Saccharomyces cerevisiae S288C: one gene and its partner. Changing the gene in region 1 together with any one later gene gives a genetic interaction. Each region holds a gene or a part of one and is shown in the gene's direction. Other genes may lie near its edges.

What was found. A genetic interaction does not mean that the proteins touch.
Region 2: mutations in TPM1 (region 1) and CHS7 together harm fitness more than expected from each alone (negative genetic interaction), as found in Saccharomyces cerevisiae (5 studies listed by BioGRID, with this or other methods).

What each region holds. Positions count from the first base shown.
Region 1 is NC_001146.8:476,684-481,066, reverse strand, and holds TPM1 (tropomyosin TPM1), read left to right. Parts: upstream 1-1,901; coding exon 1,902-2,501; downstream 2,502-4,383. Other genes in the region: NIS1 (Nis1p), read right to left, coding at 76-1,299; EOS1 (Eos1p), read left to right, coding at 3,035-4,135.
Region 2 is NC_001140.6:381,789-384,988, forward strand, and holds CHS7 (Chs7p), read left to right. Parts: upstream 1-1,749; coding exon 1,750-2,700; downstream 2,701-3,200. Other genes in the region: 60S ribosomal protein eL42 RPL42B, read right to left, coding at 202-518, 960-963. UniProt on the Saccharomyces cerevisiae protein: Chaperone required for the export of the chitin synthase CHS3 from the endoplasmic reticulum.

The sequences.
Region 1 (4,383 bases):
AAGGATAATGTGATTAAATAAAGTTTGATGTCTAAGGCTATGCAATGGCTATGCAATCCAGGGGGGGTTACCTACTTAAAAGGGGTCGCTACTAAGTATACTATCGTCTTGACTGTCGGGTATAATTATAGGATTGCTTTTGGTCTCACCTGCCATCTGGAAGAGACTTGAAGGAGTAGATAAAAGGGACATGTCTAAGTCGCTGGCGTTAGAAGAGCAGACAGAGCTTTCATTCGATGCTGAACCCGGAGAGCAAAGCAAAGTCAGGCGCAGTTGCGTCCTCTGTGTTATAACCAGCATTAAGTATTCTCTCCACAGTTCCAACAGCAGTTGCTCCTTTCTTGCATGCGATTTGGTGTTCAATTTTCCTCTTCTTTTTGGGTGGTACAACACACTAGGGGAAGTATTGGACCGCCCCACATTCTTGTTATAAACAGATCTTGTGGTTGGGGTCGTTGAATTCTGTTTAATTGTTTTCGTCGCCGTCGCAGGCATAGTCGTCGGGAGACTACCTGGTTGTGATTTGGGTAGTTTCCTACTTATGGAGCGGTTCCTTAGATACGGTGGACGACTACTGGTTGCATACATCTGGCTTCTTAAAAATGGGATAGGAGTTACCGCAGGGTCCCTGCTAGTGAGATTTCTGATAGCGTGTAAGTTTACCGGTTGCGAAGCCAGGACATTTGCAATATCCATTTGTTCCAGTTCTATATAGTTCAAAACGGATGTCAGCTCCTTCTTGCTCCTGAATCTTGACCGTACCTTTGCTTGCCTGTCTTCCCTGCGTATGGAGTGTTGCCTCTTCAAAAACCCTTTGTGAAAAATGAAATTATGATTCTTGCTGAACTTGGAGAGTTCATTTTTGCTGGTAAAGTCTGTTCTTCGTTGTGAAGTGTGTCGAATTGGCTTTGCGTTTATGGTAGGAGAGCGAGACCTCATCTTATAATTCGACCATTGCGTAAACTGTTCCATCACTTCAGTGCTTTCAACCTGGTCCGCTTTGCTTATGTTACGGTTCCTCAAGTGCGAAGCATCGTGGTACTCCATATATGGTTTGAAGCTGTCGTGTGTTATATGAGAGTCATCCGATATTTGCACTATAGGAATCTTGGTATCTGAATTTGAATTTGTGTTCGAATTTGTGTTCGAATTTGTGTTCGAGTTCGAGTTCGAGTTCGATGTAGAATCCACAAGCGCATGTATATAACCTGAAGTGGTAAACCCACCGGTACCCAGGGGAGGTGGGAACAAAGTCGGGGGATAAGACTGAGTCCCAATGCTAGTCTCGTATGTCTCCATTGTCTGTATGGTTGTATTTCAAGACGTATCTGCAAGAAAACTGATGTTTGCGAGTTAGGAACAGGGAAAAATACATGAATTAAGAAATACGAACGATCTTAACTATTTTCAACAGTACCTGAAACATGGATGTAAAAACGTAGAAGATACCCGAATAAAGTGGGGCGCACACCGGACTTGAAACCACTCCTCCTTTACCAAGCACTAATTTAAGCTAATCTAATTTAACGCAGTACATTTTGTATGCGCGGCAGCAGCTTAATACATTGCTGTCATTCACTAATGGAAAAAAAAAAAAAAAAAAAAAATCAAAATATAAAAATAAATATTAAGAACTTAAAAAGACAAACCAGCCATCGCGTGGCGCTAGCACATATATCTTACCCGACGGAGAGCCGGGTAAAGAAGTCGGGTAACCATTAAAATAAAAAATCAGCACACCATAGCACGATCTACGAGAAACGGAAAAGTGTTAGAGATCACATACTGCATACTTGGCAAGAAGAAGGTTCGTTTTTCCCTTCTGATACTGTAAAAGATTAGGTTGGTAGAAGAAATCTACATAGTAGAACTCACACCCCATACACACAAAAAAGGCAACAATGGACAAAATCAGAGAAAAGCTAAGCAACTTGAAGTTGGAAGCCGAATCATGGCAGGAGAAGTACGAGGAGTTGAAAGAGAAGAACAAGGACTTGGAGCAAGAGAACGTCGAAAAGGAGAATCAGATCAAGTCTTTAACCGTCAAAAACCAGCAATTGGAGGATGAGATCGAGAAGCTGGAAGCGGGACTTTCTGACTCTAAGCAAACAGAACAGGATAACGTTGAAAAAGAAAATCAGATCAAGTCCTTGACGGTGAAGAACCACCAATTGGAGGAAGAGATCGAGAAGTTGGAAGCAGAATTGGCTGAATCCAAGCAATTGTCCGAGGACTCTCACCACTTGCAGTCCAACAACGACAATTTCTCCAAGAAGAACCAGCAATTGGAAGAAGACTTGGAGGAAAGCGACACCAAGCTAAAGGAAACCACTGAGAAATTGAGAGAGTCCGACTTGAAGGCAGATCAATTGGAAAGAAGAGTAGCTGCCTTGGAAGAACAAAGAGAAGAATGGGAAAGAAAGAACGAGGAATTGACCGTCAAGTACGAAGACGCAAAGAAGGAACTGGACGAAATTGCTGCATCTCTGGAAAACTTGTGATCTACTTTTGTTTTTTGTTTTCTTTTTCTTTTCCCCAACACGCTGGTCTTTGTTCCTTGTTCTTGAGCAAATCAAACGCTCATGGGCAAACGAAACTAAAATAAGAACCATTTATACAAATACAATAGCTTAGACTATACATCTGTATACTTTTCCCTTGAAGATGTTTTTGTTCTTTACCGTTTGCGTGCTGATTTATGATGTTTTTACATTGGGCGTTATTACCCGAGCGGCGTTTTGTTCGTGGGACTCACACTTGTGCCTGCTCCCATGTTAAGTTTTGCACGGTTTATCACATGGACAAAGGCATTCTCATATTACACAGCTACATGTGATATATATCGGGCGTTTCCACGTGTACAAGAACCTGAAAAGTTTATCGGAAGACTAAGTTTTGGGTTGCCCACCGTCTGTGCATCTACGTGAACACACCAGGGTTTCTCATTTCTTTTTTCTTTAAGTTTTTTTTCTCTTCCCTTCCCTTCCTTTGGTCAAATAATCTTATTTGATTCTTCAGGGTTTTAAAAAACCAGATGACGTGGATACTAAGTACTGGTATGGGCCCTCATGAGGACAAGTATGCCAAGCATGAGCGAGCGACCTTTAAAAAGACGTACAGTTCTATGAAAACGCTGTCTTTGAATCATTTAACTGCCAAGCAGCATATGCTGATGGCCTTATGCAGGGACATATCCCTTTTACCGCCGTTAACTTACATCTTCACATCTCTGCGGAAGGCTTGGAGAGTCTCCATGCGCACCAGCATAACGCTTTACGAGCCACAATCACTAAGAGATGCGTTCACTTATTTCTGGCAAAAACTCAATAGCGCTTACGACAATAACTCATCATTTGAAGGAGCTTCGCAAAAGGCTGTGAATGGCGACGGTAAGGATTCACTCCTATTATCCGCACTCACTACAGCAAGAGCGTCTGAATATCTCCTTTGCTCACTTTGGTGCCTGGTGTCTTTATACCTCTCGTATGCCATTCTCGACTCTTTGATGGTCCGATGGATCGTCAAGTACTCTACTGTGGCCGCCATTTTAAGAATGTTTTCCATGTCATTGATCATTGTCACCTTAGAACTCCTTCTTTTGTCGTCTTTGTCTCCGGAACTCGACTATTTTTTGCATACATGGATACTCATTAGTTGTGTACTAACAGCAGTGTACATTTGGCAAAGTTATCTTACCTCGGATCTGAGGTATATCAGGAACCAGGAAGGCGAAGTACAAGAGGATACTAATGTTCCAGAAGAAACAGAAGACTATGAGGATGGTGAAGATGACGCTGATGAAGACTCACATGTTGTGGTAGCCGACGAAAGTACAGTAGATGTTCCTTCCAACGACAGTCTCTCCGATAACAGTGATGGCGGATTGTTTCCTGTTAACAGGCCCTCAGTCTCTCATTCACAAAGCCCTAAAAGACCCAAAAAATATCCAAAAAAAGCATTCAATTTTACCACTAAGCGAACGATAGATCTATATAAAATCACGGTTCTTTGTGTCGTCCCTGTGGGACTAGCTAGTTTTATCACCATGTTAGGTTTACTGCGAAACCTGTTCATCCAAAGATTGGATGTAGAGCAATTAGAAAGAATACTGCATGAAATGCATCCCCCCGCATGAAAAAAATAAAAGAAAAATATATAATATATATGTATATGTATATGCTGCAACAGCTCTAACTATGTATCTATATTTACGCTACAAGATCATCCCTACATAATCATTCAATTAAGATTCCTGGAAGTTAATATGTTACATGACAGCTGAAGATACAATATCCCTATTGACGACATGGCGCTCATTATAGAAATGAAATATATTTGTTCTTTAAGGTTAAAAAAACTCCTTCATATATCAGGCTAGGATAC
Region 2 (3,200 bases), on another chromosome or scaffold:
TTAGTGCGAACGCCTACGTGTCTTGTTAACTTATCATGGTTGCCAACGCGAACGTTTACAACAGGTTCAAAGGCAGGATGAAAAATTACGCCAAATAGGCAGGTTTTCAATATTAAAGAGTTAAGTATGCAAAATTTACAAAAAGTTAATGGTCAAAGTATAACTATAAAAATATAATAAAACAATAAACAATAACAACTCTCAGAATTGCAAAGCTTGACCCTTTTGCTTCTTTTCACCACCCAATTCGAAGTGCTTACATCTCTTCAAGGTTAATTGGGCTCTAGTCTTACATTTGACACATTCCAATCTCAAAACAACCTTCTTGGTAGTCTTAGCTTTCTTGTGGAAAACAGGCTTGGTTTGACCACCGAAACCAGATTGTTTACGGTCATAACGTCTCTTACCTTGAGCGAACAAGGAAGCCTTACCAGCTTTGTATTGAGTAACCTTGTGTTGAGTGTGCTTACGACAGGTCTTACCCTTACAGTAGGTCTTTCTGGTCTTTGGGACGTTAACTGGTTCAAAATGATATCACAGCAAATTTAGCATGATAGTTGATTGTTAGTAATTGATCTTAAAAAAAAAGTAATTTGACTGCACATGTAATTAGTTGTATCTTTTTTCTGTAATGGGGAAACGGCTAAATTCACAAATATCTAATGAGTATTACTAATGATATCCTCAATATATTTTCTAACCAGAGTTCTTATTAAAAGGGCCAATAAAAGTATCATTCAGGTGTTCAGTACTTTAGGAAATGATGAAAATATTTAACTAGCTCAAAAGTAAATGAAGTTTAATAACTATTAGTTTCTTGCTTGACATGGATTTGCCCTACGATTCAGGATATTTTAAAAAGTTCTTTAGCATTCTAGTAGTACCTGTGTACTAATTACACTCTCACGCCCTAATGGAGATAAATAACATGGTTTGTCTATTCCTAATCGTCCACATACCCATTATTACTGATTGTTTTTTTGCTTAATCTCCTTCAATTTACGTTAAAACAGTGAAAATACCACATCAATTAAGATATACATTGTCAACAATATGGATGTATCTCTGAGTTCATTTCGACGAATAATTTTACCTCTCTTGGTGGAAAGCCTTCCCTCCCCCTGGCGGAACCCATCATCCCGTCGAACAACTAAACCGTCAGCGTTGCCGCACCGACGGACGTCTCTCTAGAGGTCGTCTCTCCGTCTGAACATACGCACTGTTGGTACGATGCAGCGGCAGTCTGGCCGCATTTTTGACAGCGATCTTTTTTTGTATCAAGACTTCTTCCAATGTCAGGATTTATTTTCATGATGTATGGGTGTATCGGATGTTCGGATGTCACTGTCTTTTATTTTGAAGTTTGTGACAGAGAATGCTATGGAAAATAATATGTAGCAACATAGCCAACTAATTGCCATTGCATTAAATTTTGGCAGTACTATTTAAAATGCCATGTTTTATGTTGTTACAGTAAGTTATTGACATTCTTCTGGTGTTGCCCGCTTCGCTTTCTTAAAACGGTTAAATATTGAAAAAGTTTCACAAGACACGAAATCAAAAAGGATCCATTTTGGTATAAAAATAGCATATTGCATAACTTAACTAAAAAGATTAAAAAAAGTCAAAGCTACACTGGCATACTTTGAACTGTTTTTTCAAAGCTGTCTCCACGTGGAAAGTTTATTTCATCAAAACTATTATCAAAAATTGTGGTTTTGTTAATACAAAAGCTGATATATATATAATATGGCATTTAGTGATTTTGCTGCCATATGCTCAAAGACCCCGTTGCCATTATGTTCGGTAATAAAGTCTAAAACCCATCTAATACTTTCGAACTCAACAATTATACATGATTTTGATCCTTTAAATTTGAATGTCGGTGTACTGCCACGCTGTTATGCTCGGTCGATTGATCTTGCCAATACAGTCATCTTTGATGTCGGGAACGCATTCATAAATATTGGTGCTCTAGGTGTCATTTTAATCATACTTTATAACATAAGACAGAAGTATACTGCTATTGGCAGGTCTGAATATCTCTACTTTTTCCAACTAACATTGCTATTGATAATATTTACCTTGGTGGTAGACTGTGGTGTATCTCCCCCCGGCTCTGGGTCATATCCATACTTCGTGGCTATACAAATAGGACTGGCGGGTGCATGTTGCTGGGCCTTATTGATAATCGGGTTTTTAGGTTTCAATTTATGGGAAGATGGGACTACAAAGTCCATGCTGTTGGTCCGTGGAACGTCCATGCTAGGATTCATAGCCAATTTTTTAGCCTCTATTTTAACCTTCAAAGCATGGATCACCGACCATAAAGTAGCAACAATGAACGCTTCAGGGATGATTGTCGTCGTTTACATAATAAACGCCATTTTCTTATTCGTTTTCGTTATTTGTCAATTACTGGTATCCCTATTGGTAGTTCGAAACTTATGGGTCACAGGAGCTATCTTTTTGGGGCTATTTTTCTTTGTAGCAGGCCAGGTATTGGTTTATGCCTTCTCTACACAAATTTGTGAAGGGTTCAAGCACTACTTAGATGGCCTCTTTTTTGGAAGCATCTGTAATGTGTTCACATTAATGATGGTTTACAAGACTTGGGATATGACTACCGACGACGACTTGGAATTTGGTGTAAGTGTTAGCAAGGACGGTGACGTGGTGTATGATAATGGATTTATGTGAAATGCTTCTTTTTTCTATTACCATATATAGAAAATAGGTGTATACTATTAGTTTAATGTAATAAGCAGGACTATGACAAACCAAAGAGTGAAAGTAGCCGTTTCCACGTTTTAACGGCTTGTGTACACTTTGACAGTCAATCAGCGTAGTGACTTCTTTTATCAGCGGAAACAACCATATCCATAAAAGAAACGTGATGGTCGTTCCCGTAGTTTATTAAGTAAGATGACAAATTATCCTTCTTTAGTCAATTGAAAACAAAACTTCTTAATCTGTTTCCAATGTTTTAAAGTCGCTCATATGTTCATGACTACTTTTCCATGAGAGGGTTCTACGAAAAGCATCATCTTATTTTCGCAACGCTGCGGGTTTAGGCCTTTCCGCTGGTCTCTTTTCTGTTTACAGTTCTGCCCGAATGTAAACAAATACTTTGCGAAAAGTAAATAATGTATTCTGAAAAAAAAAAAGAGAACTGTGAACAATGCTTGATAGTTGTAGGA